Linked DNA regions of Callithrix jacchus. The protein of the gene in region 3 interacts with the protein of the main gene of each other region in a pairwise test. Links are inferred from orthologs where the notes say so. Each region holds a gene or a part of one and is shown on either strand. Other genes may lie near its edges. The genes, in order: KEAP1, NFKBIE and RELA.

Evidence for each region.
Region 1: the proteins of RELA (region 3) and KEAP1 interact in binary tests that used the Homo sapiens proteins (3 or more experiments, as listed by UniProt). The link is inferred for Callithrix jacchus from reciprocal best matches to the Homo sapiens genes RELA and KEAP1.
Region 2: the proteins of RELA (region 3) and NFKBIE interact in binary tests that used the Homo sapiens proteins (3 or more experiments, as listed by UniProt). The link is inferred for Callithrix jacchus from reciprocal best matches to the Homo sapiens genes RELA and NFKBIE.

What each region holds. Positions count from the first base shown.
Region 1 is NC_133523.1:9,678,797-9,682,444, reverse strand, and holds part of KEAP1 (kelch-like ECH-associated protein 1), read left to right. Parts: intron 1-72; 5' UTR 73-119; coding exon 120-758; intron 759-3,648. UniProt on the Homo sapiens protein: Substrate-specific adapter of a BCR (BTB-CUL3-RBX1) E3 ubiquitin ligase complex that regulates the response to oxidative stress by targeting NFE2L2/NRF2 for ubiquitination.
Region 2 is NC_133505.1:52,725,593-52,728,165, reverse strand, and holds part of NFKBIE (NF-kappa-B inhibitor epsilon), read left to right. Parts: coding exon 1-100; intron 101-822; coding exon 823-1,045; intron 1,046-2,074; coding exon 2,075-2,163; intron 2,164-2,349; coding exon 2,350-2,573. UniProt on the Homo sapiens protein: Sequesters NF-kappa-B transcription factor complexes in the cytoplasm, thereby inhibiting their activity. Sequestered complexes include NFKB1-RELA (p50-p65) and NFKB1-REL (p50-c-Rel) complexes.
Region 3 is NC_133511.1:122,752,075-122,756,417, reverse strand, and holds the start of RELA (transcription factor p65), read left to right. Parts: upstream 1-1,477; 5' UTR 1,478-1,563; coding exon of another isoform or gene 1,564-1,570; 5' UTR 1,571-1,665; coding exon 1,666-1,702; intron 1,703-2,178; coding exon 2,179-2,205; intron 2,206-2,295; coding exon 2,296-2,447; intron 2,448-2,547; coding exon 2,548-2,696; intron 2,697-4,227; coding exon 4,228-4,319; intron 4,320-4,343. UniProt on the Homo sapiens protein: NF-kappa-B is a pleiotropic transcription factor present in almost all cell types and is the endpoint of a series of signal transduction events that are initiated by a vast array of stimuli related to many biological processes such as inflammation, immunity, differentiation, cell growth, tumorigenesis and apoptosis.

The DNA.
Region 1 (3,648 bases), on a different chromosome or scaffold from region 3:
ACAAAAGGAGGCCAAGCAGGTGCTGGCCCAGCCCCAACCCCTGCCCCCTACCCTGTGCTGTCTCCCCTCCAGGCCCCTGAGTACCAGAGGTGGTGGTGTTGCTTATCTGCTGGAACCCCATGCAGCCAGAACCCAGGCCTAGCGGAGCTGGGGCCTGCAGCAGATTCCTGCCCCTGCGGTCAGAGTGCCCCGACGGGGGAGGGGACGCAGTGATGTACGCCTCCACGGAGTGCAAGGCGGAGGTGACGCCCTCCCAGCACGGCAACCGCACCTTCAGCTACACCCTGGAGGATCATACCAAGCAGGCCTTTGGCATCATGAATGAGCTGCGGCTCAGCCAGCAGCTGTGTGACGTCACCCTGCAGGTCAAGTACCAGGACACGCCAGCCGCTCAGTTCATGGCTCACAAGGTGGTGCTGGCCTCTTCTAGCCCTGTCTTCAAGGCCATGTTCACCAATGGGCTGCGGGAGCAGGGCATGGAGGTGGTGTCCATCGAGGGCATCCACCCCAAGGTCATGGAGCGCCTCATCGAATTCGCCTACACAGCCTCCATCTCCATGGGCGAGAAATGTGTCCTCCACGTCATGAACGGTGCTGTCATGTACCAGATCGACAGCGTTGTCCGTGCCTGTAGTGACTTCCTGGTGCAGCAGCTGGACCCCAGCAATGCCATCGGCATCGCCAACTTCGCTGAGCAGATTGGCTGTGTGGAGTTGCACCAGCGTGCCCGGGAGTACATCTACATGCATTTCGGGGAGGTGAGCGGGGGACGGGGCTGGCGGTAGTGTCAGGTGAAGGACCAGGGATGGAGGAGTGCTCATCACAGTCTCCCATCTTGAGATGTGAAAGGTCACTGTCTCCCATTGAGATATGAAGGCAGGAAACTGGAGAAAAAGGAGGTTCTGGGCTGGGCATGGTGGCTCACGTTTGCAGTCCCCACACTTTGGGAGGCCGAGGTGGGAGGATCGCTTGAGGCCAAGAGTTCAAGACCAGCTTGGGCAACATAATGAGACCCTGTCTGTAAACAAACAAACAAACAAGAAACAACAGGGGCTGGGCATGGTGGCTCACGTTTGCAGTCCCACTTTGGGAGGCCAAGGCAGGTAGATCACCTGAGGTCAGGAGTTCAAGACCAGCCTGGCCAACATGGTGAAAACCCATCTCTGCTGAAAATACAAAAATTAGTTGGGCATGGTGGTGCACCTGTAGTCCCAGCTGCTTGGGAGGCTGAGGCAGGAGAATCTCTTGAACCTGGGAGGCGGAGGTTGCAGTGAGCCGACATCGAGCCGCAACACTCCAGTCTGGGTGACAGAGCAAGACTCAGTCTCAAAAAAAAAAAATTTAAAAAACAACTGGAGTTCTGAGTTGTCTACACATGTAGGGAGACTTGTGAACAGCTGGGGGAGGTGAGGTCTTCTTGGGTCTCTGGGCTCCCTGGTTTCTTTGGGGTCAAAGGTGGGGACAGAATGCAGTGAAAAGCAGCCAAATCCTGGGGCAGCCCAGCCTTTTGGGCAGTCAGCAAATGTTTATCAGACACCCATAACAGGCTGCAAGTCTGAACCTTAGTCTTGTTTTTTTTGGTGCACGAAATTTCCTTACACTGTTTTTGGTTTCATTTTCATTTCTCAGTGAAGGAAATTATCTATAGAAATTGACAAGAAAGGGCCAGGTGCTGTGGCTCAGGTCTGTAATCCCAGCACTTTGGGAAGCTGAAGCAAGCGGATCACTTGAGGTCAGGAATTTGAGGCCACCCTGACCAACATGGTTATACCCCGTCTTGGCCAGGCACCGTGGCTCACACCTGTAATCTCAGCACTTTGGGAGGCCGAGGCAGGTGGATCACCTGAGGTCAGGAGTTTGAGACCAGCCTGACCAATGTGGTGAAACCCCATCTCTTACCAAAAATACAAAAAAAGGAAAATTAGCCAGGCATGCTGGCATTTGACTGTAGTCCCTGCTACTTGGGAAGTTGAGACAGGAGAATCCTTTGAACCTGGGAGGTGGACATTGCAGTGAGCCAAGATCGCACCATTGCACCCAAGCCTGGGTGACAGCGAGATTCCGTCTCAAAAAAATAAAAATAAAAATAAACTCAGAAAAAATAAGTAACATATTCTTTTTATTTTATTTTATTTTATTTTTTAAAGATGGGGTTTCACCATGATGGCCAGGCTGGTCTTGAACTCCTGACCTCAGGTGATCTGCCCACCTTGGCCTCCCAAAGTGCTTGGATTACAGGCTGGATTACCGCATCCAGCCCTATAAGTAACACATTCTTAAAGTTCAAAAACCAAGTCAGTTATGGTGATGCACACCTGTAATCCCAGCTACTCAGGAGGCTGAGGTAGGAGAATCATTTGAGCTTAAGAGTTCGAGACCAGCCCGGGCAACAAAGTGAGATCCCACATCAAAAAACGACAAGGCTGGGTGCGGTGGCTCCTGTCTGTAATCTCAGCAATTTGGGAGGTCAAGGCAGGTGGATCACTTGAGGTCAGGAGTTCAAGACCAGCCTGGCCAACATGGTGAAACCCCATCTCTACCATAAAAATACAAAAATTAGCTGGGTGTGGTAGCACACACCTGTAGTCCCAGTGACTCGGAAGGCTGAGGTGAGAAGATCGTTTGAGCCCAGAAATTTGAGGCTGCAGTGAGCTATAATCGTGCCACTGCACTCCAACCTGAGCAACAAAGCAAAACCCTGTCTTAAAAGCAAAAACAGGTCGGGTGTGGTAGCTCACACACCTGTAACCCCAGCACTGTGGGAGGCTGAGATGGGCAGATCATGTAAGATCAAGAGTTTGAGACAAGCTTGGCCAACATGGAGAAACCTCATCTGTACTAACAATACAAAAATTCCAGCCTGACCAACATAGTGAAACCCCCTCTCTACTAAAAATAAATACAAGGCTGGGTGCAATGGCTCAGGCCTGTAATCCCAGCACTTTGGGAGGCCAAGGCGGGAGGATCACCTGAAATTAGGAGCTTGAAACCAGCCTGGCCAACATGGAGAAACCCCATATCTATTAAAAATACAAAAAAATTAGCCAGGCATGATGGCAGGTGCCTGTAATCCCAGCTACTGGGGAGGCTGAGGCAGGAGAATCACTTGAACCTGGGAGGCAGAGTTTGCAGTGAGCCGAGATTGCGCCACTGGACTTCAGTCTGGGTGACAGAGTGAGACTCTGTCTCAAAATAAATAAATACAAAAAAATTATCTGAGTGTGGTGGCACACTCCTGTAATCCTAGCTACTTGGGAGACTGAGGCAGGAGAATTGCTTGAACCCGGGAGGCAAAGGTTGCAGTGAACCAAGATTTCACCACTGCACTCCAGCTTGGGCAACAGAGCGAGACTCTGTATCAAAAAAAAAGGAAAAGAAAAAGAAAGAAATAAAATTAGCTGGGCATATTGGTGGGCGCCTGTAATCTCAGCTACTCAGGTGGGTGAGGTGGGAGAATAACTTGAACCTGGGAAGCGGAGGTTGCAGTGAGCCGAGATAGTGCCACTGCACTGCAGCCTGGGTGACTGAGACTCCATCTCAAAAAACAAACAAAACCAAAAAACAAATGATACTGCAGGGTATACCATCTATTGAGTCTTTGCCCATTTCCCTGAGTCCTGATGACATGCCTGGCATGTAGCATTAACT
Region 2 (2,573 bases), on a different chromosome or scaffold from region 3:
GGTCCACCTGGCAGTGATTCACGAGGCCCCAGCAGTGCTGCTCTGTTGCCTGGCTTTGCTGCCCCAGGAGGTCCTGGACATTCAAAACAACCTTTACCAGGTTGGTGACGAGAATGGGTTGTGCCCAGATACCTGTTTGTGCCCTGACAGCCATCCCCAGCAGCCACGCTAGTCCATAGGCCGCTCACTGAGAAAACCATATGCCAGACACTGAGCTAGAAGCTGAAGAGACAAACACAAGTAAGACACAGCCTCTCCCTAAGGTGCTTGCAGCCTGGGCTGGGGGACTCGTGTCAACAGCTAAATACACAGCCTGGTGACAAGAGCTGTGATAGAGACACACACCAGCTGCTATGGGGTCCACCGTCCATGTGTAGCAGCCAGGGAAGGCTTACAGAGGAGGTGACATCTGAATGGAGCCTTTGCAGAGACGTTTGCCAGGGAAAGACTGCCTGGTGCCTCTATCTTTCCTCCAACATAACCCCTGCAGCCTAAGGCCTGGGGATAAGAGAAGTCTCCCCACAGGATGAGAGGCTAGACTCTGTCCCTACATATCCTTTCTCCAGGGCCTATGGTGACTTACAAGAAAAGCAGAGAGCTACTTTCTTCACCTTGCTTCCAGAATTGGGGTCCCAAGAGATTGGTGGGACTCAGGCGTGACAGGAGAAGGGCTTGGTAGTATTTCCTTGGAAGCCCAGGCTATGACCTTTATAAGTGGCTTTCAAAGAAGACGCTGGCAGCTAGTGATTCTGGAGCCCAAGCTTGTTCCCAGAGGTGGGAGCATGCTGCAGTGGCCCCATGACCCTCTATTTGTGCCTCCAGACAGCACTCCATCTGGCTGTACATCTGGACCAACCGGGTGCAGTTCGGGCACTGGTGCTGAAGGGGGCCAGCCGGGCACTACAGGACCGGCATGGTGACACAGCCCTGCATGTGGCCTGCCAGCGCCAGCACCTCGCCTGTGCCCGCTGCCTGCTGGAGGGGCGGCCAGAGCCAGGCAGAGGACCATCTCACTCTCTGGACCTCCAGCTGCAAAACTGGCAAGGTGTGGACAGTCTTAGGGCCTGTGGGAGGAGGAGGGCATAGGAGATAGGGCTCCCATTCTTGGGGAAGGGAGGGTCCCAGCTTGTCCATTGGTGCCCCTCCCACTGTAAGCACATAGATATACAGCACATCTTTGCTAAATGAATGAATGGATGAGTTAGAATTTACCCAGTACCTACTGCGTGCTGAGCAGAAAACTAAATCTTGCTTTTAAGGTACTTAGTTTAACAGAGATCAGATGACCCGATTCATTCATTCAACAGAAACATGCCGAGGGTTTTCTGTGTGCCAGACATTATCCTAGGAACTATGCTTGCGTCTGTGTGCAAAACAGAGAAAGATTGAGACAAGCAATAAATACAAGAAGTGAACTATGTAATAAGTTAAAAGGAAGCAAGTGCTGTAGTGAAAAGTAGAGCAGTGAGGGGAAGGAATGTGGGGAACAGGAGAGTTGATAGGATTGTTAAATAGAGTGGTCAGGGAAGGCCTCATGGAGCCAGGGACATCCGCACAGGGACTTGAGGGAGGTGAAGAATGTAAGTTTGAATCAAAATCTCTATTACTAAGCAAGGGTCAGGAAGTGTCCAAGTGTCCAGACCAGAAAGGGGACAGCAAAAAGGCCAGGAGAACACACAGAAGGAAGTGGCCCCTGAGAAAGGGCTGGGGTCATGAGGATCCTAGATGGCTTTTCAGAAAAGATGGCTTTCAGACTGGGCTTGAAGGCAGGTGTGTGTGTGTGTGTGTGTGTGTGTGTTTTGTGTATAGGAGGAGGGTGTTTTTTTGGCATGTCACTCAGCAACTTGACTCCTGAAGCATGAAAGTTTCAATAACATGACTCTGAAAAGGTGGAAACTTTGAGTTCCTTTCCCCTTAAATTTTTGAGGGGGTTTTGGGGTTTGCATTTTAACAGTCTTGTGATTAGAGACATTGAGTGGGCAGTGAGTCCCTTGGGGCTGAATGGCTGGAAGGTCCCGGAAGAGAGGGAGTTGGTGGATGCAGATCAGCAGCCCTCACCCTCACCCCATCCCAGGTCTGGCTTGTCTCCACATCGCCACCCTGCAGAAGAACCAACCACTCATGGAACTGCTGCTTCAAAATGGAGCCGACATTGATGTGCAGGTGAGGCAGCCATCAGCACACTGCCTGGCACAGGGCCTTCCCCCCACCTGACTCTGCCCCCCACCTGACCCAGCCCCAAGCCCCCTGCCCAGCGGTCAGAAGTGGTAGCATTTACCTCCTTATCCAGAGCCTGGGCCCAGCACACTGCCTCTGAAGGCCTTGGCTGATATCCTTATTTCTTCCCAGGAGGGCACCAGTGGGAAGACAGCGCTGCACCTGGCTGTGGAAACCCAAGAGCGGGGCCTGGTACAGTTCCTGCTCCAGGCTGGTGCCCAGGTGGATGCCCGCATGCTGAACGGGTGCACACCCCTGCACCTGGCAGCTGGCCGGGGCCTCATGGGCATCTCATCCACTCTGTGCAAGGCGGGTGCTGACTCCCTGCTGCGGAACGTGGAGGATGAGACACCCCA
Region 3 (4,343 bases):
AGATCGTGCCACTGCACTCCAGCCTGGGTGACAGAGCTAGACCCTGTCTCAAAAAAAAAAAAAAGAAAAGAAAATACAGAATTCTGGATGGTGGTGGCCCCTTGAGTTTTGCAGTGGGTACACGGGTGTTTATAGCATTAATTTAAAAGTTATAAACATACATGAATTTTAAGAAGAGGATCCATGCAAGATTCAATGATAATTTTATGTCATTAACCAAAGATTTTGATTAATCCATTCTGCCACCTGAAGTCTGCCTCCCCCGCCCCCTAACAAAAGTAAACACTTTTCTAATCAGGGCCAGCCACTGGAGAAACTGAAATGAGTGGGCGGGGTGCTAACTCTATTTTCACTTTTCTCTTCCTGTTTCTTCAGAGCCTGGGAAACAAGTCAGAATTTCCAATCTTTTCCAATTCCCACATGATTTCCTAATTTAAGACGAATTCAGAGAAAAAATAAAGTCTTTCTCCATCTGGAGAAGACTCCGCCCCCTGCAGTGGAGCATCCTCTTTCGGGGAGGAGGTGTGGGGTGGGGGTGCGCCAGCCCCAGCCCCGACACGTACGCGGTTTGGTCTTGGGGGCGATACCGGCACTGTGGGGGTCACATGACAGAATTAGTGGTCAGCCCTAGCTAGAGGTCCAGGGCAAACGCAGGGGTGGGCGGGGGCGTCGTGACTCTGCTGATTCAAGTGTCCCCTGGGGGTCCCGGACCTTCTGAGACAAGCGCCAGGCTGCGGAGACAAGGCTCCGGGGTTTACCCCCGGGCTCCTCCTGCTCCCACGGTCGCTCAGGGTCTAAAATGCAGTTCGGCTGCATCTTAAGCTGGCTCTTTAGCGTGAGAGGGGCGAGCCCTCGGCCAGCTCGCCGGCGGGAGGGCCTCGGTCGTCCCATCCGGGCTGCAGGCTCTGCAGAGCTAGTCTATACTGTCAGGCGAGGAGGCCCGGCCGCTCCCCTTCCCCAGAGCCGCATCTAGATTGGGGTGGCTAGGACATTTTAACGTGCTTCTGAGACAGTCACCACCGAAAGGCGCCTTTAGCGATCAGGAAACCCGCGTAGACTTCAACCACCTGGCCTTTGCGGGCGCAGAAGGCCAGGCTTGGCCTTTCCCTGCGCGGGACGGGTGGCCGCAGCCCAGCAGCCCTGGCTTAGCTCTAGACCCGGCCCAGAGTGACATCACCAACTCCACCGATCGCGGGAAGGGGCCCCGAAATCCCCTAAAAATAAAGTGAGTAATCGACGGACACGCCCTCCAGGTGGGGCCGGGACTCGGAAACTAGCCCAGCAGCCTGCCGCGCCAGCCTCTTCGTCCCCCGCGAGGCGCGCACTTGGCCCCGGCCCCCTGCGGCGGCTGTGCGCGCGGCCTCTTCGTCCTCCGCGCGGCGCGCACTTGCTCTCGGCCCCTGCGCCGGGCCGCCGCGGTGCAGCACGCAGGCGCGGCCGGATTCCTGGCAGTGACGCGACGGCGGGCGCGCGCGGCGCATTTCCGCTTCTGGCGAATGGCTAGGCTGTAGCGCCCGCCGCGGGCCCAGCTGCGACCCCGGCCCCGCCCCCGGGACCCCGGCCATGGACGGTGAGGTCGCCCTCTGACCCCGCGGGGTGGCCGCGCCGGGGCCGCCGGGGCTGTGGCGGGAGCCCCCGCGCCGCTTTCCGCCCCTTCTTGCGCTGATGGGCGCTGCGCAGGGAGCGGCCTGCCTGCTGGATGGTGGCGCGGGGCGGGGCAAGCGGGGAGGGATCTGACTCAGTTTCCCCTCTGGGTGGAGGGGAGGGCCTTAACTCAGTATCCTCCCTGGGTGGGACAGCGGAGGGAGCCTTGACTCAGTTTCCCCCCCACTGTCTATGGGGGCAGCTCTGGCTTCGTTTCCTTGTTAGGGAAGAACGCATCTGATTCAGTTTCCTCTCTGGACGGAGGTGGGGCGTGCCCTCCCCCAGTTTTCCTTATGAAAGGAAAACTAATTCAGTTGCCCTCGGGAGAGGAAGGATTCCTTACCCCGTTTTCTCTCAAGAAGCAGGTGTTTCTGGCTCCTTCTCCCCACCCTTTAGTTTCACCGCCTGTTCTAGGGAACGGGTCCTGACTCCGTTCCCCTGGGAGGGAGCCTGGCTTCTCTTCGTGGGGAGCAGATTCCCCCGGTGAGGATGGGCAGTGGGTGTGTGCTGACCCTGATCTCTCTCCCCTTTCAGAGTTGTTCCCCCTCATCTTCCCGGCAGGTAAGTGGCCCCCGCGGTGGTCGGGGAGGTGCTCCCTGGGGTAGGGCAGCGGGGGCAGCCACCTAATGGGTCTGCGGTGTCCCCTGGCAGAGCCAGCCCAGGCCTCTGGCCCCTATGTGGAGATCATTGAGCAGCCCAAGCAGCGGGGCATGCGCTTCCGCTACAAGTGCGAGGGACGCTCCGCGGGCAGCATCCCTGGCGAGAGGAGCACAGATACCACCAAGACGCACCCCACCATCAAGGTCAGCATTGAGCCGGGGAGTGCGGGGTAGGGACTGCGAGCCCCAGCCCTCTGTTTGGGAGTCAGGTTTGGATGTCTGGGCTTCTCTGTACTTTGGACAGATCAATGGCTACACAGGGCCAGGGACAGTACGCATCTCCCTGGTCACCAAGGACCCTCCTCACCGGCCTCACCCCCATGAGCTTGTAGGAAAAGACTGCCGGGATGGCTTCTACGAGGCTGAGCTCTGCCCGGACCGCTGCATCCACAGGTGAGCTCCCTGCAGTCTAGGAGGCCCAGCCTGAGGGGACAGGATGCGGGCTGTGAGGTAGACGCTACAGTGTTACTCCTTTCTGGACACAGGACAATTTCTCACTCCTTGCTCTGACATAGTTCTGCAAGTAAACTCCCTTTGTTTTAAAATTATCATTTATACCTCTACTCTAGCAGATAGGAGCTCTAGGGGATAGGGATGGGTCCCTAATCACTTCTGAATCCCTGACCCTGTAGCTGGAAGGGGTAGTCCGTCAGAGTCATGTCTCTTGTTTGAGAAAGAAAACCATTGAACCAGTACTCTCCCCGGAGTTGACATTACAGTTGACAGAGACAGACTATAAAAAAAATATACAGGCCAGGCGTAGTGGCTCATGCCTATAATCCTAGCACTTTGGGAGATGAAGGCAGGAAGATCTCTTGAGCGTAGGAGTTCAAGACTAGCTAAGGCAACATAATGAGACCTTATCTCTACAAAAAAATAAATTAGCCAGGTATAGTGTCATGTTCCTATAGTCCCAGCTACTTGGGAGGCTGAGGTGGGAGGACCACCTGAGGTGGGAGGCTGAGGTGGGAGGACCGGCTGAGGTGGGAGGACTACCTGAGGTGGGAGGCTGAGGTGGGAGGACCACCTGAGCCAAGGAGGTCCTTGCTGCAGCAAGCTGTGATCATGTCACAGCATTGAAGTCTGAGTGACAGAGTGACACCCAAGTAAATAGCCTGGCACAGTGGCTCATGCCTGTAATCCCAGCACTTTGCGAGGTTGAGGTTGGCGGATCATCTGAGATCAGGAGTTCGAGACCAGCCTGACCAACATGGTGAAACCCTGGCTCTACTAAATACAAAAACTTAGCCGGGTGTGGTGGTGCACACCTGTAATCCCAGCTACTTGGGAAACTGAGGCAGGAGATTGGCTTGAACCTGGGAGGCGGAGGTTGCAGTGAGCCAAGATTGAGCCATTGCACTCCAGCCTGGGCAACAGAGTGAGACTCTGTCTAAAAATACATAAACAAATAAAATATGAATAAATACACAGATAAGTAAACAAGGTACTGTCAGAGTAATACTTTCAGTGCTGAAAATAAAACAAGGTCATAGGATGAAAGGATAACCTGGGGTCGGGGAGTGAGGGGAGCTAGTGTAATGACTAGATTGGGAGGTCAGGGAAGGCCTCCCTCTGCTACTGCTTGAATGGTGAGGAGGAGGAGAAAAGTAGGAAAAAGAACATTCCAAGCAGACCAAACAAGTGCTAAGACCTTGAAGTGGGAATGAGTGTCTTGTGTTAGAGAAGGGAAAGGAAGCCCCTATGGTGGTAAGCAGATGGCCCAAAGGGAGGCTGGCAGGGGCGGGGGCGCAGAGGTGCTTGTCAGCGGAGGGGAGGGACAGGGTTCGTTGCAGCATAGTGGGAAGCCACTGGAGGGGGTTAGGTATGGAGCGATGATCTGCGGGTGGGCAGGGGAGGAAGGAGCAGGCTGGGCAAGGCAGGAAGGTCCCAGCTCTGCAAGAGACAGGTGAGTGGGGGTGTTCAGTTTCCAGAACCTGGGAATCCAGTGTGTGAAGAAGCGAGATCTGGAGCAGGCTATCAATCAGCGCATCCAGACCAACAACAACCCCTTCCAAGGTAAGGGTGAACCTGCCTGCCGCA